Linked DNA regions of Arabidopsis thaliana. The protein of the gene in region 2 interacts with the protein of the main gene of each other region in a pairwise test. Each region holds a gene or a part of one and is shown on either strand. Other genes may lie near its edges.

The links. Proteins that work in one complex are often made in the same cells at the same time.
Region 1: the proteins of AT4G18205 (region 2) and MLO4 interact in a protein complementation assay, tested with the Arabidopsis thaliana proteins (one large-scale study listed by BioGRID).
Region 3: the proteins of AT4G18205 (region 2) and CRK40 interact in a protein complementation assay, tested with the Arabidopsis thaliana proteins (one large-scale study listed by BioGRID).

Annotation. Positions count from the first base shown.
Region 1 is NC_003070.9:3,670,391-3,679,299, reverse strand, and holds MLO4 (Seven transmembrane MLO family protein), read left to right. Parts: upstream 1-3,166; 5' UTR 3,167-3,246; exon of another isoform or gene 3,247-3,341; 5' UTR 3,342-3,390; coding exon 3,391-3,516; intron 3,517-3,884; coding exon 3,885-3,942; intron 3,943-4,031; coding exon 4,032-4,252; intron 4,253-4,343; coding exon 4,344-4,460; intron 4,461-4,773; coding exon 4,774-4,834; intron 4,835-5,279; coding exon 5,280-5,371; intron 5,372-5,508; coding exon 5,509-5,583; intron 5,584-5,728; coding exon 5,729-5,814; intron 5,815-5,930; coding exon 5,931-5,980; intron 5,981-6,071; coding exon 6,072-6,112; intron 6,113-6,204; coding exon 6,205-6,378; intron 6,379-6,470; coding exon 6,471-6,506; intron 6,507-6,595; coding exon 6,596-6,663; coding exon of another isoform or gene 6,664-6,733; exon of another isoform or gene 6,734-6,739; coding exon 6,740-6,800; intron 6,801-6,909; coding exon 6,910-7,365; 3' UTR 7,366-7,544; downstream 7,545-8,909. Other genes in the region: AT1G11040 (HSP40/DnaJ peptide-binding protein), read left to right, coding at 1-75; AT1G11020 (RING/FYVE/PHD zinc finger superfamily protein), read right to left, coding at 950-1,329, 1,444-1,567, 1,871-2,332; AT1G10990 (uncharacterized protein), read left to right, coding at 8,209-8,787.
Region 2 is NC_003075.7:10,070,696-10,076,695, forward strand, and holds AT4G18205 (Nucleotide-sugar transporter family protein), read left to right. Parts: upstream 1-3,015; 5' UTR 3,016-3,154; coding exon 3,155-3,185; intron 3,186-3,267; coding exon 3,268-4,370; 3' UTR 4,371-4,675; downstream 4,676-6,000. Other genes in the region: PUP8 (purine permease 8), read left to right, coding at 1-279; PUP7 (purine permease 7), read left to right, coding at 1,080-1,110, 1,193-2,334; AT4G18203 (uncharacterized protein), read right to left, coding at 2,049-2,225, 2,757-2,804, 2,956-2,964; PUP10 (purine permease 10), read left to right, coding at 5,480-5,510, 5,659-6,000.
Region 3 is NC_003075.7:2,286,707-2,294,315, reverse strand, and holds CRK40 (cysteine-rich RLK (RECEPTOR-like protein kinase) 40), read right to left. Parts: upstream 4,415-7,609; 5' UTR 4,272-4,414; coding exon 3,431-4,271; intron 3,269-3,430; coding exon 3,152-3,268; intron 3,082-3,151; coding exon 2,948-3,081; intron 2,861-2,947; coding exon 2,650-2,860; intron 2,571-2,649; coding exon 2,333-2,570; intron 2,236-2,332; coding exon 2,097-2,235; coding exon of another isoform or gene 2,061-2,096; exon of another isoform or gene 1,884-2,060; coding exon 1,599-1,883; 3' UTR 1,366-1,598; downstream 1-1,365. Other genes in the region: AT4G04580 (Homeodomain-like superfamily protein), read left to right, coding at 83-176, 270-345, 454-555.

The DNA of each region.
Region 1 (8,909 bases), on a different chromosome or scaffold from region 2:
AATTTCCCGGAGAAGTTGAGTGAAGAACAACGATCAATGGCCTATGAGGTGTTGAAAGATTGTTCTTGGGCATAAAGGTTTATAATATGCATATGTGTTTCTTCATGCCTTTCACTTCCTTCATTGTATATATGTTTCCTACTAGTCGAGTGGGCTTGATGCGTTAAAGTTGTGATTCGTTGACATTAGGCTTATTTTTATATATTTTCCTTTATATATACATTTTGTTTTCTTAGATTGAGCTGTTTTTTCTATGATTCTTTCTTGCTGTGAATGATACAATTGTCTTCTTGTAGTTAACATTGATCAGTATATCGACAAAGATAACTATCTGAAAAAATTGACAATCAACTTAGCTTTAGTAATGCTTACGACTTTTACGAGTTCTTTGGAGTGAATCCAAAAGAAAACGATGATATTATATACTATAATCTGCACTAGCATACTAAATGACCGCATAGCGCAGTGGATTAGCGCGTCTGACTTCGGATCAGAAGGTCGTGGGTTCGACTCCCACTGTGGTCGTATTTTTGTTATATTTTTAGGTTTTCGGGGGTTTGTAGGAAATTTAAGCTGCAACGACGTACCTATGCTCTCCGTTATCATCTCACTGCTTTCAGAAACTGTAACTCAAAAAGGAACACTTTTACACTAATATCCCTTTTCTCTGGTGAGAGCTTTTTGTGTGATAACTGAAACATCAGTCGGTATATAGACTCTGTTTGTAGATTTGGGTCTCAATATCTTTAATAGTCACTGAAAAACCAGTAGCATTGCATCACCTCATACCATAATTATAATAAATATATATAAGACAAAATATCCATTAGGTACTTTTCATCGCATGATAAAGAAAAGAAAGACACTCTGTGAACATATACGTATGAACTCGTCTCTCTCATGTGCCCGAAACTCCTTACAACCTTTATTTGACAGTTAAAAAACACGGTCACAGAAGTTTCAGCATTTTCAGTCTTCCTTCGTGCTCTGCATCCAGCTTCGGGGGAGTGTAACTTCCGTGAAGATCCTCCACAATGTACTCCTTTGTGAGCTCTCGCTTGGTGAGAATATGGTAATGTCTCTGCCATATCCTTTGGATAGCCATAGTTGCAGCAAGAAACCCATACGCTAAACCAAGAATGGCAAAGATGACGACAAAAACAACAACAAGAGCGAAACAAGCTTCCATTGAAGCAGGGAAACAATCCAAGACACCCCATCCATAACAGCAGTTCTGGCATCCAGCCATCCTCGGGTCATTACCGTTGAGAGCAGAGCAATGTAGAATGATTCCAAGAAATCCAGTCAGCACAAAGAAGGATATAACCCCTAAGAATTCATGACACACCAAATGTTCAAACGCGTGTAAGGCTTCTAGATCCGTGGTATTTGAAAGGTATACTAGTTACGCAATAAAAGGGAGATGAAAGATTCAGTAAATACCAATGCAGTAATAAAACGGGATGGGATGTTTCGACAAAATACGATCCCAATCATCGTTGAAAGAGTTGCGAAACTCTCCGTCTTTGTCCATCATATATGCGAATCCGGCCATCACAGCGATAACCTAGAGTTTCAACAATCTTCTTATTATCAGACGTCAAAAAGATTCAGACAATCTCTATGAAAAACAAGCTTCAAAAATGGCAAGTCACAGTGAGCAAAATGAACAATTTGATAGTCATCAACTTCCATTGTCAATTTCAAGCACCCACCATGTGTACGCAGTAACCAGGTCAAGATTCGAATCTAGTTCACTTTGTGAGCCAGATTATGACATCATATAAAATTTATCCTCAGAATCTCTTAATAAATGCTTTATAATCCTCACGAAAACTATGAAGAGAAGCTGAGAGAGAGAGATACTCACAGTCTGCACAGCTAAGAAAACCAAAAGCACATCTCTTGCGACAAAGAGTCTGAATTTAGCTTTTCTACGCCACGAATTGTTATCCTCAAAGGGTTCGACTCTCAGATGAAACTGTGCTTTGCAAGTAGTACAGTGAGAGAAAGCAAAACCTTCTTTAACCGATCGCCAATGATCGAGACATGAGCGATGCACGAATTGTTGAGTGCCTTTACACATACAAGGTGAAATCAATTCATCGCCTAACAATTCACTATCGTCCTCCAAACAAATACGACAACAAGGAGCTGAAGAAGCATCGTTCTCTAAATCTTCTTCAGCCTTTATCTCATCGCTATTTCCTGCCACCACAGACGCAGCAGAAGGAGACGCCGAAGAAGAATTGGTGTGATCTCCTAACAAAGGAGCGGAATCACTTAGTTTCTGTGAATCCGGTGGCTGCAATTGTACTTCACCTTGCATCATTGATCCAAACCTTCGCTAACCCTAAATTTCAGACAAGAAATCTGTGGGTGGAAATCAATCGGTGTGATTAGAGGACTAATGATTCGAATCGAGTCAAATACATTAGCGTCTCTGTGTTCGTTGATCGGCTAGAGAATAATCGTGCGGGGATGTGAGAAGATTATTTACAGAAGTGGGAGAGAGGCAAAACATAAAACTGGAGAAGAAGGGTCAATGCGAGAGAGAAACGAAAGCTTCTTTATTTTGGGAATTGAAAATTACAGAGAAAAAGGGAAATGGGGTGAGAGAGGCTCGAACTCTCGACCTCAGGATCACTCAATAGCTATGAGACCTACGCGCTAGCCAACTGCGCCACCACCCCAATGTTGGGAATTTGTACACGTGTTAATTTATTATATCATATTCATTTATTCTCCTGGCAAAACAGTGACCGGTCCACCACAAATTGCCAAATCCTAGTATCATTAGTCAAAGCTTTGATGTACTCGTAAACTTCTAATATTAACCGCCATTTATCAGTAAAATCGGTTGAGTTGTTGCTGCTAGATTATGATTAGTAGATTGCTGCTATAAATTCGGTTTACAAAAATTGTATGAAATGGCGTAATTTTGGTTTTTGTATCTGATTATTGTTCATTTAATTCGGACAGTGATTGAATCTCTCTCCTAATTTCAATGATACGTAAACCGATTGAGATATCATCAACCCGGCTTTGTTATTATCGACTAATGGTTGTACCGGTCGGTAAAGTCCGGCTATTAAATTGCATTATTAAATTTAGGTTCTTTAACGACATTTAGGGGGAAGCACATGAATGCTGCAATAAATGAAAGAAGCAATTGAATAAAGAAAGAGAAGAGAGAAGACCGTTGGAGAAGACGAGGAAGCAACCATGTGCTTTGGTTTCTACTTGGTACAGCATTCCATGAGCTTTTTTCTTCTCTTTGACTAGTATATTTTATTGTAGAAAATTAAATGGAGGAAAAAGCTAAACTTTCTTAATCACAGATGCAGATTGATTCTCCATTTTTCTCGGGAGAAAAGTTCCTCGCCGGAGATGGAGCATATGATGAAAGAAGGAAGGTCTCTTGCAGAGACGCCGACTTACTCTGTTGCTTCGGTTGTTACTGTTTTGGTCTTTGTTTGCTTTCTCGTTGAACGCGCCATTTACAGATTTGGAAAGGTGTGTTTTTGTTTTGTATTTTTTCTTCGTGTGTGTGCCTACTATATGTTTGTTGAAATGCTCAGCTCAAAAGAATGAGTGTGAAGAACGTATTATGATTTTTTTTTTTTTTCTGCACACTTGCCACTTGGGTTAACTCTTGCTCTCCATGATTCATGAGCTGGAAATGTTTTATCTAATAATGGGTGCTAGAAAGTGAGAATTTTTATGGACGAGATGTTTCTTCTTGGAGATATGTGTTTATGCTTGCTAAATGTCAGTAGAAGTAGTGTTGATGTTTTCACTCTAAGAGAAGTCATTATTACAGGATGTGTCTTTCATGTTAGATATATATGAGGAGCTAATTTCATGTTCTGTTTTGTTTTCAGTGGTTAAAGAAGACTAGAAGAAAGGCACTTTTTACTTCACTTGAGAAAATGAAAGAGGGTATGTCAAATAAACCTGTGCTGATGTTGTGGTGCTTTATACTTTCTTTCTTTTTCGTTTGATTTTGACTTGTTAAACTTTCTTGGTAGAGTTGATGTTGCTGGGACTTATATCACTTCTGTTGTCACAAAGCGCGAGATGGATTTCAGAAATCTGTGTTAACTCTTCCCTTTTCAATAGTAAATTCTACATTTGCTCTGAAGAGGACTATGGAATCCATAAGAAAGTTCTTCTGGAACACACCTCTTCTACAAACCAGAGCTCCTTACCTCATCATGGAATACATGAAGCCTCTCATCAATGTGGTCATGTAAATATTTACTTTTTCTATCGACTTAAGAGCCTATTTTCCTTTTGACTTTTAATTATATTACTGAACTGGATGTTGGATCCAATGCCAGGGCCGTGAACCATTTGTGTCGTATGAGGGACTCGAGCAACTCCTAAGATTCTTATTCGTCCTGGGTATCACTCATGTTCTATACAGTGGCATTGCCATTGGTTTAGCCATGAGCAAGGTACACATCCTAGCTCCTAAATCTACATATGAGTGTTAAATTTGTATTCTTAAGTATTTCTATGTTGCTCCGAAAGGAAGAGATGTATTATACTTGCAATCAACTTTATCCTCATGTCTAGAGGATGTAGAGAACCTCATGATCAAATAATTAGTGGTCCTAAGTATATGTCAAATAGAAATTATCTTCAATCTGAAAATTGAGGGAAAACCTTCGATATTATCATTTATGTGCATAGAGTGTTAGTAAGATTAAGCAGACGAACATATCAATACCATCTGAAACAGTGTTGTCTTTTTATCACGTAACACAGATTTACAGTTGGAGAAAATGGGAAGCCCAAGCGATCATAATGGCTGAATCAGATATCCACGGTAAATGACAAGACTTTTCTGTCTCTCCTTCAAATTAAGGCTTGTATGTTTTTGATGGGTCTCATCTTGAGGGCACATGAGGAACTGTGTTATCTTAGGATTAAGAACAGCATGAAACTAGGATTCTGTTAAGTATTTAGGTTGTTCATTCATGAACTCACTTAAGCTGTGGAGAGGCTTTTATGCAGATTTGCAAATTTCGCTTCATCTTGACTAGCAGATCAAATCCAGTATAATCACTTATAAATACTGATATAGGAAAAATTCCTTTCTGTCCTAGTATAATCACTTATACAGGATTGAAATGAACTGTGTGGAAAAGAGATGTATCTCTGTAATTTTAGCTTTATCACAAACAGCTGATTCATTGTTAAAGATACTTAATGCCTAGGATGCTTTAGTTTCCAGTCATATATACCCTAGTCTTCTTGACTTTGTTCAACAGCAAAGAAGACCAAGGTGATGAAGCGTCAGTCTACATTTGTTTTCCATCATGCCTCTCATCCTTGGAGTAACAATCGTTTTCTCATTTGGATGGTAACTCCCCATGCTTTTACCTTAAGCTGTAATTTTTTAAAAATTTCATATCTCTAGTTAAGAACACTGTTATATTTTTCTCCAGAAGCTATTTTTACGGCATTTGTCCAGCAATAAAATATATGTTTGCATTGCAGCTTTGTTTCCTGCGGCAATTTAGAGGCTCCATACGAAAGTCTGACTACTTCGCACTTCGGTTAGGTTTCCTCACTGTGAGTAACTTTTTTATTTCGTTTCTCAGTCTTTCCTTCAAATTTAAAATATAACTTTCTAGTAATTTCTCAAGAATTCTCATCTAATCTGGTAGCTGACATGATTAGTTTTCTGAATCCGGTCTTCATTACTTTAAAATTTCAGAAACATAATTTGCCATTTACATACAACTTCCATATGTATATGGTACGGACGATGGAAGATGAGTTTCATGGCATTGTTGGAATTAGGTATGCGTTTCTGAGAATTGAGATCTTATCAAAGACTCTTTATTCAACTGTTTTCAGAAGATTTCGTAAGGGAGTTACAGAATGGGACTGATGAATGTTTCTTGATGAATCAACAGCTGGCCACTTTGGGTTTACGCTATAGTATGCATCTGCATAAATGTTCATGGTAACTTATCGGTTCAATAAATACAAACTACATTCCATTTCTATCTCCACATTAAAGCTTTGTCTTTACTAATTCAGTGATTTCCTTGCAGGCCTGAATATGTACTTTTGGATATCATTCGTTCCTGCCATTGTAAGTAAAAGCAAGATTAAGTAAAAAGCTTGAAATTCATAAGGCAGTACTAACACTCAGAGCATGTGTTTGTATCTGTTTTGTTGTCTAAGCTTGTCATGTTGGTTGGAACCAAACTTGAGCATGTTGTCTCCAAGCTTGCTCTCGAGGTTAAGGAGCAGCAGACAGGCACATCTAATGGGGCTCAAGTCAAACCACGTGATGGGCTCTTCTGGTTTGGGAAACCAGAAATTCTGCTACGGTTGATACAATTTATCATTTTTCAGGTAAGCAAAAAGACTTTTCCTTTCTCAATTCTTCAAGCCATGATATTACTCTATTCACACAGATGATCCTTATATATTTCCTGCTAATGCAGAATGCATTTGAAATGGCAACATTCATCTGGTTCTTGGTAAGGCCACCTTATAAAATGCATCAATACTTAAATCAGCTATGCAAAGTTTTTCAGTTTTTGAGAAGATCATCAATTTCATGTATCAGTGGGGAATCAAGGAAAGATCTTGCTTCATGAAGAACCATGTGATGATATCAAGCCGGCTAATTTCTGGGTGCGTTTCAAATACACAACAATTCGCAGCAACACACTGTCTCTTAAGATTTTTTTTTTCTTTCTGGTGAATGCAGGGTTCTCGTTCAGTTCTGGTGTAGTTATGGCACTGTGCCTCTCAATGTAATCGTTACTCAGGTTCGTCAAAACCTTTCATATATCTACAATTCCACAATCTTAAGCCTATCCAAGTCTGTGACTAAACATCGTTCATAAAAACTCTATGGTTTCACCTGAATCTGAACAGATGGGATCTCGGCATAAGAAAGCTGTGATAGCAGAGAGCGTAAGAGACTCACTTCACAGTTGGTGCAAGAGAGTGAAAGAGAGGTCTAAGCACACGAGATCAGTGTGTTCCCTTGACACAGCAACAATAGACGAGAGAGACGAGATGACAGTGGGGACATTGTCTAGGAGCTCATCGATGACTTCACTGAATCAGATTACCATAAACTCCATAGACCAAGCAGAGTCTATATTCGGAGCAGCAGCTTCATCCAGCAGTCCTCAAGATGGATACACGTCGAGGGTGGAAGAATATCTGTCTGAAACATACAATAACATCGGTTCGATACCGCCTTTAAACGATGAGATTGAGATTGAGATTGAAGGTGAAGAAGATAATGGAGGGAGAGGAAGTGGGAGTGATGAGAATAACGGTGATGCTGGAGAAACACTTCTTGAGTTGTTTAGGAGGACTTGATCTTGTTTCTGCTTTTAGAAGCTTGGTTCAGTTGTAATTACTTGACATCCATACAAGAATAACAATTAACAAAGTAAATCTTTTGTTGGTCCAGTAAAAAAAAGTATTCAATGATCAAAGTACATCTTTTGTTGGTTCAGAGGTAAATTTAAAATATAATAGCATGGATTGGAACGAGATATTATGGCATTAGGAAACTTTTTGATTATGGCAGTATAAACAAAGACCACAAATTATGGCAGCTATACATATATTGATTTCAAAACAGAGATAAAGACTTGTCACCTGTCATTTGATTATTTATGAATTTACCTCTGCAGCATTTTCCTTCTTCTGTGCAGTCACGCCTACCGATGGATTTGATTAATTTCCTGTCGATTATTACTAAGTTGTATTTCTAGTAAATACAACTTAAAAGTAGTTTTGTACTCGGTCTTAAAACTAGTTTTGTACATAGTTTTTGAGTAAGATACTTTGTTTTTTTTGGGACAAAGAGTAAGTTAGTAATATCAAATTTTATCATAGTGATTGTTAATTTATGTCAACTACGAAATTAAGAAGTTATCAAATCTGATTTGAGTTATGATAACAATGTCATTGATAGACTCGGTCAATTATGGCATTAAGAAAATCTAAGGATTTAAGTAACCAGGTATCAATTATTACCGCCGTTGGTATTGACTTTTAAATAAGACTTGCCAGTTGTCACACACATGTCATAAACAATTGTTTTTTTCTTCTTCTTTTCATTCAAATGATAAAATTAAACTTGCACTATACAGTTTCTATAGAATCATCCATCACTAGATCTGGTCTGGCGATCCCCAAAAGATCAAGTCAAAAATGAATAACAGAGAAATGAAACATGGTAAAAAAAAAGACGAGAAGATGCCGGTTTTAGTGATGCCAGGTTTCATAGCCGGAGCAACATTTCTGGTTATTTGGATCATACGACGTGAGTTCCTTTTATCTTACTTTTGGTGTAACATAGATTTCCTTGCTTCTGTTTATCTTTTGAATAATCCATATATAGGCTATAGAAAGGGCTCCACCAAAACTAACTCGCCGCCACCATCCGCGCTTCCAAAGGCTCGAGAATGTGGTCCTGTGGCGTCCACTAAACCTAACTTAACACCTGCGCCGCCGCTAGGTCAGCCACGGCTATACGCTCAAGAATCTCAACAGTACAGTCTTGTGGCGTCCAATGAACCTGACTTGACACCTGCGCTGCTAGGCCCGCCACCGCTATACGCTCAACAGTCTCAACAGTTTAGTACTATTGTGGTGTCCAGTGAAACCGACATACCCCAGCTTCTGGTTCAATGTTGTCCGCCAGATGGAGACCGTGGATTAACAAATCAATACTATGCGGGACAAGAGTTCGACTTAGGAGGACACGACAAGGACAGCGATTCCGATTAAGAGTAGAGTACTTTTTTAAACAACTTTTGATTATGAATTTACCTCATCCACCATTTTTCTTCTCTTTATCTTGTGTGCACCGGCATCTTTAGACTATAATATATGTCGTAAGAAGAAGAAGA
Region 2 (6,000 bases):
GGCGTCGTGGGACTGATCTTTGAGTCATCTTCTGTGTTCTCCAATTCCATAACTGCTGTGGGATTGCCTATAGTTCCAGTTGTAGCAGTGATTGTTTTCCATGATAAAATGAACGCGTCAAAGATCTTCTCCATCATTTTAGCTATCTGGGGATTCATTTCATTTGTCTATCAGCACTACCTCGACGAAAAGAAGTTGAAGACTAGCCACACAAGTCCTGTAGGAGATCCTCATCTACTACCTGCTGAGGAAGGTCACACAAACATACATAGTGTATGATCAAAACATATTTCCAGTGTAAAGCCAATGTATCTTTGTACAGTTTGAGCATAGATATAAAAACGTGTATCTCTAGTCAATCATAAGTAACTGATAAGTTTTGTACATAAGATACCAATAGTTCGGATCTTTTTTACTTCTATATACCGGAGATACCCATAACTTAAAGATGCAAATGCAATACTCTGCTTTGTCATTTTGCAATGCATTTGAATCACCAAAAAACAAGAGCAAACATCGATAGCAGAGAGGCAAATAGGCTAAAGCATCCTTGGAAAACCAGAGCTTTGAACAAAAAAAAAGAAACAAGTGAACAAAAATAATACCCACTTACCTGGAAGCCACTGACATAACAAATAACCAATGTAGTGACTTGAACAGTGCCTTGTAAAAAGACTCCTTAAAATACCAAAAACGTATACTCCAGGAGCTTGGATTCTTGTATCTTTGTTGACTTCTGATTAAACGTCAGTAGACACTGAGAAAATAAAAAAAATTCTCGTAGAGCCGCCATTCAAAAGTTTCAAGAATTCCACAAGTCAAGTGTAAGCAAATAAGAAAAGTCACCGGTCAACATGAGACTACTAAATAATGATACTGCTACTGTCATCTATCGCCTGCCCCATCCATATAATACGATTTACTAAAAGCCTGCCATGTTTGATAATGCAACTTGTGTAGGGTATTTAGATGTTTTTTTGTAATACCATCAATGTGTGTTTAAAGAAAGGCCTCTTGTGTATCTGCACGACATCTCAAACAAAACCAATCAATAAAAACAAGAAACAATCTTCTTTCTCATGGACAGATCTCAAGAACACTATGCCAATGGTAAGAAGAAGCACCTGATAAAGTTAGATCCTTGAATTCATTTTTTCATGAGATATAATAAACATGAGTGTTAATTTTTCAGGTGACCAGAACTTAGAAGCAAACCTTATAGATCATGAGGTGGTAACTGAATCATCATCATCAGCTGTGCCTCAAACCGAGAACTATAAAAGGTGGCTTCGTGTCTCCATATACGTAATCTTTGTCCTCTTTTGCCAGCCACTAGCTACAATTCTGGGTAGATTGTACTATGAAAATGGAGGAAATAGCACATATGTGGTAACACTTCTTCAACTCATTGGCTTCCCTGTACTGGTTCTGTTCCGCTTCTTTTCTCGAATCAGGCAACCCAAATCAACAGATACAAATTTCAGTCAGTCCCCTTCCTTCACCACCCTTGCATCGGTTTACTTGTGCACTGGACTGCTAGTGTCCGCTTATGCTTATTTGTCTGCAGTAGGGTTGCTCTACTTACCAGTCTCTACTTTCTCCCTCATCTTGGCCTCACAGTTGGCCTTCACTGCCTTTTTCTCATATTTCCTTAACTCGCAAAAGTTCACTCCTTTGATAGTCAGTTCTTTGCTTCTCCTCACTGTATCCTCTGCTCTTCTTGTGGTCAACACTGATTCAGAAAACTCAACTAATGTATCTAGAGTACAGTATGTGATCGGGTTCATATGTACCATCGGTGCTTCCGCTGGGATTGGACTGTTACTATCTCTGATACAAATGCTCTTCAGGAAAGTTTTCACGAAGCATACATCCTCAGCAGTCACGGACTTGGCCATTTACCAGTCTCTAGTTGCGAGTTGTGTAGTTCTCATAGGACTTTTTGCAAGTGGAGAGTGGGAAACTTTGCCAAGTGAGATGAGAAACTACAAACTCGGGAAAGTGTCATATGTTTTGACTTTAGCCTCGGCAGCTATTTCCTGGCAAGTCTACACTCTTGGTCTTGTGGGATTGATCTTCGAGTCATCCTCTGTGTTCTCCAATTCCATAACAGCTGTGGGATTGCCTATAGTTCCAGTTGCGGCAGTGATAGTTTTCCATGATAGAATGGACGCATCAAAAATCTTCTCCATTATTTTAGCTATCTGCGGCTTCCTTTCATTCGTCTATCAGCACTACCTCGACGAAAAGAAGTTGAATACTAGCCACACAAGTGCTGTAGGAGATCTTCATCTACCTGTTGAGGAAGGTCACACAAACATACAAAGTGTGTGATCAAAGCATATTTCCAGTATAAAGCCAATGTATCTTTCTTTTTTTCCCCTCAAAGGCCAAAGCCAATGTATCTTTGTACAGTTTGAGCATAAAAAACGTGTAACGCTACTTTGCAAACTAGTCAGTCATAATAGCTAATAAGTTTTGTACATATGATACCAATAATTTCAGAATATTTTTCTTCTATATATACCAATAAGTTTTCTTAAAGATGCAAATGCAATACTCTGCTTTGTAATTTTGCAATGCATTTGAAACACCGAATCAAGAGCAAACAACGAAGTCAGAGAGACAAATAGGCTAAAACAGAGCTTTGAGCAAAAAAAAAAAACAAGTGAACAGATATAATACCCACTTACTTGGAAGCCACTGACATAACAGATAAACAATGTAGTGACTTGCAACAAAACTCCTTAAAATACCAAAAACGTATACTCTAGGAGCTTGGCTTCTTGTATCTTTGTTGACTTCTGATTTAACGTCAATAGACACTGAGGAAAAAGAGTTCTCTTAGAGCCGCCATTCAAAAGTTTTAAGAATTTTAAGTCAAGTGTAAGCAAATAAGAAAGGTCAATGGTCAGCATGAGACTACTAAATTATGATACTGCTGTCATCTATCACCTGACCCATCTTTATTATTATACACAAATTAGTAAAAGTCTGCCAAGTTTGATTAGTGCAACTTGTATCTGGGGTATTTAGTTACTATAATAAATATCATTTTGTGTATAAAGAAAGGTCTCTTCTGTATCTAAAAGACATATCAAACGAAAGAAATCAATAAACACAATATTCTTTCTTCCAAATTTTCTCATTTCTCATGGGCATATCTCAAGTACACTATTGCAATGGTAAGCAAAAGGTACCTGATGACGTTAGATCATTTGATCCTCTTTCGATGAAATATAATAACCACGAGTGTTAATTTTTCAGGTGACCAGAACTTAGAAGCAAACCTTCTAGATCATGAGGAAACTGAATCATTTTCAGTACCTCAAACGAAGAACTGTAAGAGGTGGCTCCGTGTCTCCATATACGCAATCTTTGTCATCTTCTGCCAACCACTTGCTACAGTTCTGGGTAGACTGTACTATGAAAATGGAGGGAAAAGCACATATGTGGTAACACTTCTTCAACTCATTGGCTTCCCTGTACTGATTCTCTTCCGCTTCTTTTCTCGAATCAGGCAACCCAAATCAACAGATACAAATTTCAGTCAGTCCCCTTCCTTCACCACCCTTGCATCGGTTTACTTGTGCACTGGACTGCTAGTGTCTGCTTATGCTTATTTGTCTGCAGTTGGGTTGCTTTACTTACCAGTCTCTACTTTCTCCCTCATCTTGGCCTCACAGTTGGCCTTCACTGCCTTTTTCTCATATTTCCTTAACTCGCAAAAGTTCACTCCTTTGATAGTCAATTCTTTGTTTCTCCTTACGGTTTCCTCTGCCCTCCTCGTGGTCAACACTGATTCAGAAAACACAACAAATGTATCTAGAGTACAATATGTGATTGGGTTCATCTGTACCATTGGTGCTTCCGCTGGGATTGGATTGGTACTATCTCTGATACAACTGCTCTTCAGGAAAGTTTTCACGAAGCATACATCCTCAGCAGTCCTGGACTTGGCCAATTACCAGTCTCTAGTTGCAACTTGTGTGGTACTCATAGGACTGTTTGCAAGTGGAGAGTGGAGAACTCTGCCAAGTGAGATGAGAAACTACAAACTGGGGAAAGTGTCATATATCTTGACTTTGGCCTCAGCAGCTATTTTCTGGCAAGTATACACTGTTGGTTGTGTGGGATTAATCTTCGAGTCTTCTTCTGTGTTCTCCAATTCCATAACTGCTGTGGGACTGCCTATAGTTCCAGTTGTAGCAGTGATAGTTTTCCATGATAAGATGGATGCATCAAAGATTTTCTCCATCATTTTAGCTATCTGGGGCTTCCTTTCATTTGTCTATCAGCACTACCTCGACGAAAAGAAGTTGAAGACTTGCCAGACAAAACCTGTTGAGGAAGAAACACAAACTTTATGAAACAAGTTGTATCGAAGGTCTCAGAAACAAACATACATAGTTGTACACAGTCATGTAAATAACCTATATAAAGCTTGTATGTGTAATATCCGTAATGGTCCATGCAAATGGGATATGTATGTCGCTCATATTTCAGGTATTTAGAACTTTTATTCAAAAGAGTATTGTGTAATACGAGCAGAGTGATAAAAGCAGTCATTTATTTAACAGAAAAACCATGTCAATTTTGTGATACTTTCATTGTGTGAGTGTGAAACCCGATAAAAATTGACCAGTTAGCATAACTTACAGATATGTCAATGCAATATTCTCCTTTCTAGTTTTGAAATGCACCTAAATCTTGGGAAACAAGAACAAACAGCAAATCATGTATAATGAGAGATAGAAGATAATTTGTCAGATTGGTCCAACATCCTTGGGGAAACAGAGCTTTGAACAAAAAGTAAATGACCAGAAATAATACCATTTTATATAGCGACTTCCTCTGCCGTCCAGTATTAAGTTGTTGCGAATGTCTTCTCTTGAAAAGATAGGCGAGACATAATCTTTAGCTAACGTCAGCATCATCTTGATGGCAAAAACTTCATGACTAGCCATGGAAACCGAAGTGTGTACCCAATCCAAATAAATTTAAAAAGACAAATAACTTTTAGAAATGTCGTCCTCATCAAGATCACAGAATACTACAACTTGTGTACACGTTCATACATATGCGTATGCGTGTTAAGTTTCTATTTGTCTATGCGTATGGGGTTCATGTCCTCCACATAGTTGCAGAAGAAAGTCTGAATGAATATTGCCTACACATAATTTCCTCCTAGACTTAACTCATCTCTTGGTCAACAATAGAGGCATCTTTGCATGTAGAAAGACTACAGATACTAAATTCATGGAAAGAGAAGAGATATGGTTGGCATTTACTGAATGTGGGGCCAAGAACAAAGAAAACTTAGACGGTGACCGATTCCTAATCCCAGAATATATAACTTAGCATATCTCACCCATATCAAAGGAGCAATCACTTGGTAGCATTATCAACCAAGAGAATTGATAATAAGATACGTTAGTTCCTCCTTGTCCATCTCCAAGGTGGTGATTCCACATCCACCATGACGGCGGATCAAGAACTACAAATCATTGGTGAGTAAGCATAAACCAGTTTGTGGTGAACGTCCTATTCTTTCATCTTCAAAAAAAAAAAAGATGGTTATGATATTTTATAATTCAATATATGAAACGATCGACAACAAATAAACTAATTTTTGCGTTATTTTCACTCACTTACCAGTTCGGCAGGGAAAAGAACCAAATCCAACAGTTCAAGATGAAAGAAATTCAGTCAGTAGCAGCCAAGCAGAAGTATCTCACTCTAACACATACAAACGGTGGCTCAGGGTGACTTTATATACATTCTTTGTCATTTCAGGCCAAACAGTTGCTACAATTTTGGGCAGAGTATACTATGACAACGGAGGAAACAGTAAATGGCTAGCAACGGTAGTTCAACTTGTTGGCTTTCCTGTGCTACTTCCATATTATATCTTGTCATTTAAAACACATGCAACAACTGATAGAGATGGAAAAAGAACCTCACCTAGGAACCGTGTATTGGTTTACGTAGTGCTTGGAC
Region 3 (7,609 bases), 7.8 Mb from region 2:
GGAATATTTAGATTTTCAACATAATGCATAGTGAAGTTTATATCCGTTTATTCATAATTATGCACCTCCAATCCTTTGACAGAAATAAAAATGATGCGGGAGATGACACAGAGGCAATCTCAGCAATATCTTCAAATCTATGAACGTGCTACCCAATTTATCCAAAATCAACAAAGGTTCTTATGTTCATGTATCAACTTAGTTTTTCATATAATTAATCGTTTTTTGGTTTCGTGAGTAAAACAATCTTCTTTTTCAATTTCTTCTAGGCTACAACTGGATAATACTGAGAAGATAACCCCAGTTTTGGGATCAAGTAACAAGTCTCTAGATCAATCTTCAAAGGTAATTTTTTTTTCCTTTTGTAATTTTTATATTACTAAATATCATGCATGATTATCAACATGTTGATTTGATGCCTATGAAACTAGATTAATGTATATTTTATGGCAGGTTGGACTAAATGAAAACAGAGGCAATGATGTTGTTGTTGTTGGTGGTGCAACTGGTGAAGAAGAATTGTCCCTTGAACTCACTCTTGGTCGCAAGTACTAAGAGGAGTTTGGTTTCTATCTTTTTTTTTATGCTTGCTCTCTATTTTATGTAATGCTTATCTCATATATATAATGGGATAAGAAAAATAAAAACTGAACAATATTTTATGGTATTCTATTTATAATGCTATTATGTGATTTTGCATCCATGCTATTTGGGGGAAATATTATTTATATAAAATATTTCTATTACAAAATTGAAAGCAACTTTGAGTCTTTGACAATATTCGGCTGCACTAGATTTTGTTTAGGTATATATTTAGAAAAATATATTAGAAAGAACTATATTAGGTACATAGATATACTCTTATTTGGGAATTCTGAAAATATCAAGGAAAATTCCTTATATTATATTTTCAACAACAAAAAAAAAACTTCCTTATATATATGTTCATACTAAGATAAGAATCAAGTAGAGTGGCTAAAATCAGGAATTTGATTGGTCAGAAAAGATTTTTTATCCTCACTCTATTGGTCATGTAAAATTAAAATCAACTTTGAAATTTATTGGTCATTTAGAAGAAATATATTAGGGAGAACTATATTAGGTACGTGATATATTTTGTTTTGGGAATTAATGTGAAAATACTTAAAAACAATTGTTATATTATAATATTTGTTTTAACAAAAAGAAAGAAAAAAACTTCTTTATAATTCTATTTAGAGTAAGATATATCAGAATAAAGTAACTGAAATTAAGAACTGATATTTTATCTGATTGTTAAGAAAAGATTTATTATCTTCTCCTAATTGAGATTTATAAGATATTTCAGTTATTATTAAATCATATTTATATGTGCAACATTTTAAGTTTATTTATTTCTTACCTCTATAATATTAATTAATATTGGTGAAAATAGTTTTAAAACAAAACTGGACGCGAAAACCCTCTTGGCCCAAAGGTTAATCAAGAGTTAATAAAGCCTTTACACCAAAGAAGTCTAAAGTTCGAATCCAAGATTATGCGATTTACTAACAAATTTGCAGATTAATGGAGTTTGATATTAAAAAATATTCAAATATTTTGATTAACTGATGTATATCTCAACGACAACTCAACTCCGTGAAGACATCGTCGCTCAATGACATTGCACCACTTTCAGATTGGGATCGAATCCAAGTGAAAGCAGGAGCTTTAGGTAAAGGAATGATGATAGTCTCACTGCCAAGCCAAATTATTACAGAGCTCATGGTTGGTCTCTTTGTTGAATTCTCTTGAACACACAACAAACCAATTTGGATCAACTTGATGATCTCATTTCTTGGATTCTCTATTAAGAACGGATCAATTATAATCTCAGGCTTTCCTTCAACCCATCTTTTCCATGCCTACACCAAAAACATAAGTTCTTACTTTCGGGATAAAGTTTTGAAGATAGAAAAACAAAAACTGATATGTGAAGAAGCTTAAGGTCGCCGGTTCGAGTAACGCTTGGAACGAAACTAATATTACATGCTGTGGTTTCGGTCCTGGGGGGATTACGGGCTTCGGCCCAAAACCTCCAGCTATTCAAAAAAAAAAAAAATTGTGAAGAAGCTTACAAAAGCTGCAAGTCCTTCTCCTTCGAAGCTATTGTTTCTTTCACCACTAATCATCTCTAGAAGCATAACACCGAAGCTATAAACGTCAGATTTAGCTGAGATTTGTCCATGATTCAAGTACTCAGGAGCCATATATCCACTGCATATATGCAAACCAATAGCATTAATTCATGGACTCTGTTTTCAAAACAGAGCATTTGAAATGTGTCATCAAATTTGATTGATATATTTCTTACCGGGTTCCAGCTATTCTTTTTGTTTCAGCTCGAGTCTCGTCGGAGTCGAACAACCTCGCAGTCCCGAAATCCGCAACTTTAGGGTTCATCTCAGCGTCTAAAAGTATGTTGCTTGCCTTCAAGTCTCTGTGAATAATCTTCAGCTGAGAATCTTCATGGAGATAGAGAAGACCTCGAGCAATGCCTTCTATAATTCTGAACCTCACCTCCCATGTAAGAAGAGAACGCTTATCTTCATCTGCAGAGTTCAAAGAAACATTTAGTTTGCTAAAAGTTCTAAATCTATCCAACTTGGCAGCTGTCTTTCGAAGGCTCACCAAAGATAAAGTGATCAAGACTTGAGTTGGGGACAAACTCGTAGACAAGAATCTCTTCATCTCCCTCATTACAGAACCCAAGAAGCTTAACAAGATTCTTATGTTGGAGTCTTGTCAAGAGTGAAACCTCATTCTTAAACTCCATATCTCCTTGTCCTGATCCTTTTGTTAGTCTCTTGACCGCTACCTCTTGCCCGTTTGGGAATGTCCCCTGAAACCCATTCTCAAGATATCTATTTACTCATAAAAGACCAATGTTGATCAAGAACTCATCATTAAGGAAAAAGTTTATTATTACCTTATAAACCGTACCAAATCCACCTTGGCCAAGCGTATTTTCAGAGGAGAAGTCATCAGTTGCCATTACGATCATACCAAGATCAAACCGTAACATGAATTGACCATCAGAATCAGAGTATTCTGCACTACCAACTAAAAAAACAAAAAATCCATAAGCCTTACTCTCTACATCATAAGCTTGATTGAAGCAAGTTACACTTACCATTATTTAATTTTCCCCTCCGTGCATAGACTTTGATAAAGCCAATAAACACCAAAAGATTAATGAAAGTAAACACCACAACTATTGCGATAATTCCGCCATACCCAATGCTTTTCCCTGCAAATTACCAACCCTTTGTCTAAGAATTAACCTCTTAATCATAATAACAATTTGGCACGAAAAGTTCATACCAAACCGCTTCATGTCACTTATGTAAACAATATTCCTCAAAATTGGCTCTTTTGAGCTCTAAATGAAAGCTAAAATAATTTGTGTTACCTTTTTTTACTGTTATGCAGCTCTCCTTTTCCTGAGCATGAGGTCGAGGAGGAGGCGCAGGAACTCTTGTTACATTATCAAAAGCATTATGGAAAGAATATAGATCCCACCTGAAATAACAGCTTGGAAGACTAGCCATGCCTCCTTTTCTTCCCATATAGTCTTTTCTAAAGTACATCACGCAATCTCCCAAACATTGCTTGCAATCTCGTGAACTTAAGTCGGGTGTGCATTGCATCAGCATGTAAACATCTGGAAACTCGGTGAAACCCGCTTTTTCGGCCTTATAGTACTTAAGCACCGAGGAACCTTCAGCTTTCGTGGCAGCCTCTAGGGTCCGATTAACCATTTCTTCCCACTGTTGTTTGAAAAGGGTTATGTTTTTAGATGACTCTATAGTATCTGGACTTGGCCATACAACAGGAGGTTTAAGCTGGACGCTCCCAAAAGTAGACTGGTTTGAGGAACGTACAAGACAAGTTACATCGTCATTGCCTCCCCATATGAACGAATCCCTACGGCTTCGACAATCTGTTAGTGTGTTCTGAGTCAATGATTGGACACAATTGTAACAAGCGTCTTGGTCGTAGCCTCTTGCGCAGCTGACAAGAGCGTAAACTTTGTCGGGATCTTGGCCGAGTGAAGCGTTGTAGAATCCGTCGTTGATGATGACTTTGTCAGCAAGAGTAGGGAACAGTTTCTGGCGATTCTGAGCGAAGGTGCTGCTGTTACCGTTGAAGGAGTTTCCGAAACATTTGACCGCGTTAACAACATGGAGTGTTTGAAGGACAAGTAGAAGAGAAGAAGAGAGGAATATCATCAAAGCAGAGCATTTTCCCATTTTTGTTTGTTAAAGATAACAACTTCTTTGGTTTTTTTTTTTTTGATGTACTACTTGAAGTAGTCTACTTCGTTACTGTTAAGTATAGTAATAAATTTTTGAGCTTTGTTTATATTTATATAGCCTACCAGCTTTGACATTTGAAAGGTTCCAAAAAGAAAACAAAATATGGCCTAATTTTCTTCGTTACTGTAAATAATAATCACAAGTTATCTTTCAATGGTAAGTTGGTTGATAATAATCAAATGTAATAACTAGTAAAAAAATGAAACATGGCAGTTTTTTTTCCCCGGCAATATTATCATAAACAGTTTTGCATAATACATGAACCATTCACATACGACCATTGACATAAACAGAGACTTTTATATAACGAGAAACATGTCAGTGAAAAATAGTTAACAATGAAATGATAAGTCGCTGAATTACTAAAAATATAGAGATTATATAAGTTACGTTTTCGATTTGTGTTGGGAAAAATCTATTTTACAATGGTTCCTCTGTTTTTTAAGAAGTGTTGTTTAAGCAAAAACAAATAGTTTCATTTTATTTGTTGTTTTCAATTTTTAATGGAAATTTTATTATTTTTGACTCTTAGAAATTCTACAAAACTTTTTTTTCAATTTGTTGAATTGTTTTTAAATAGATAATTAACTATATTAAAAGATAATAATAAAAAACGAAATAATTTCATTTGTGCCAAAACCTTGAAACTTAAACTACAAATAAATGACAATAGAGGGAGTAACAAATTAAATAATATACTTATAATCATTTCTAGGAAGATGTACAGACTCATTCACAATCAACTTCTTAGTCAAAAATTATATGTAATAGTAAAATACTAAAATGTGGAAAAGATAGTGATAGAAAAACACAAATAAATGAAATGTTTGGTATTACCTGTGAGACGTTAACCCATATTAAGAACTTTTGGTCCCCAGTCCCCACAAAACCTTGAAAAAACGCGTCTTTGTTAACTTCCAAACTGAGAGAAAATGCGTATTGGTTGATTTTTCAAAGATTCCAAAAATGGCTACCCACAATATAGAGATAATAGCAAAACAAATTCTTTTTCTTTCGTGATTGATTTTATGAATAGCTTCTTGGACGATTCCGCAATAGCAACTCTTCCACCAATTCACGGATCCACAATATACGGTTCTACATACAGTTATACATTATATATTTATATTTATTATAAATTTATGAAGATGCAGATTCTGACAACAACGAGCTGATAAACATCATGGAGCTGTTGGAAATTAGGAAGCTGCATCAAATCTGTTAGTTTATAATTGAGTTTGGTCTATAAGTTATAATTATGTTGTATTAAAAGGTGTTTGTTAGAGTCGTGACTTTTAGATTAGGTTGTGTCGTTTATCTTAGAGAGAAAGAGACACAACTCTTTACTTATTGTGTCTATTTGTTTTCTATTTAAACTTTTTGTATCGTGATGAAACGAACAAGTTCTCCATTCAATAAAAGTCAGTTTCTCTTTTGCTTTGTGTATCTCATAAGAAACAGAACAACAAGTAAACACTTGTTTTTTCTTTGTAACAAGAGGCTTCAATTTCCAACATGGTATCAGAGCCCTACTGATTCAAGGGCCAAACATTTCAAGTAAAGAGTTTAATAAACACGAGAGAGTTATGGAGATGGTGTCACACATTGTGACTCCAATCTTCAACAAAGAGAATTATGGTTTTTGGCGCATCAAGATGAAAACAATTTTCCAGACAAAGAAACTGTGGGAAATTGTTGACGAAGGAGTTCCAAAACCACCCGCAGAAGGAGATCATAGCCCTGAAGCAGTGCAACAAAAGACACGATGTGAAGCAGCATCCTTAAAGGATCTAACCGCTTTGCAAATTCTTCAAACTGCCGTCTCAGATTCCATATTTCCGAGAATCGCCCCTGCATCAAGCGCACTTGGAAAGCCTTGGTATTGGAATTTCAAGGATCACCACAAGTCAGGATGATAAAGCTTCAATCTCTTAGAAGGGAGTATGAGAATTTGAAGATGAAAGAAAGTGACAATATCAACACTTTCATGACCAAGTTGATTGAGATGGGAAATCAACTGAGAGTTCATGGAGAAGAGAAATCAGACTATCAAATAGTGCAAAAAATCCTAATTTCTCTTCCGAAAAGATTTGACATCATAGTGGCTATGATGAAGCAAACGAAGGATCTGACTTCGTTGTCCGTAACATAGTTGATAGGCACATTGAAAGCACACGAGAAGCGGGTAGAGATGCGAGACGAATGATCAACGGAAGGAGCGTTCTATGGAGAAAACAAACGTGAAGACAAGCGTCAAACGCAGGCTGGGAAATGGTGTGACGTTTGCGAACGTAAAAATCACAATGAGAGTGATTGCTGGATGAAGAAGAACAAAGGTGTTCTTTCGCAACAAGTGGGGAACAATGAGAGAAGATGTTTCGTGTGTAACAAACCGGGACATCTAGCAAAGAACTGCAGACTTAGAAGGACCGAGCGAGTGGATCTAAGTCTAGAAGAAACAAATGATGATGAGGATCACATGCTGTTCAGTGCAGTCGAAGAAGAAACATCATCAAACGTGAATGATGAGACATGGCTAGTTGACAGCGGATGCACTAACCATATGACCAAGGAAGTTAAATACTTCATCACTCTTGATCAAAGTGTAAAGGTACCGATCAAAGTGGGGAATGGTCAACATGTAATGACGGCAGGAAAAGGAAATATCCAAGTGATGACAAGCCAATGAGAGAAGATCATCAAAGAGGTGTTTCTAGTGCCGGGTTTAGCAAGAAATCTGTTGACTGTTTCTCAAATGGTATCCAAGGGATACAGAGTCTTATTTGAAGACAACAGATGTCTCATCAACGATCCTCAAGGAAGAAGGATACTGGATATGAAGATGATGCAGAAGAGTTTTCCATTGAGATGGATAAAGGCGAACACAAGTGCTTTACTAGCAAGTGAAGAAGGAGTAAACAAGGCAAGGTTCGAAGAACTAAGGAGGAAGCTTGGAGTAAGACCGAAACTCAATTAAGGGGGAATGTTAGTTTATAATTGAGTTTGGTCTATAGGTTATAATTATGTTGTATTAAAAGGTGTTTGTTAGAGTCGTGACTTTTAGATTAGGTTGTGCCGTTTATCTTAGAGAGAAAGAGACAAAACTCTTCACTTGTTGTGTCTATTTGTTTTCTATTTAAACCTTTTGTATCGTGATGAAACGAACAAGTTCTCCATTCAATAAAAGTCAGTTTCTCTTTTGCTCTGTGTATTTCATAAGAAACAGAACAACAAGTAAACACTTGTTTTGTTCTTTGTAACAAGAGGCTTCA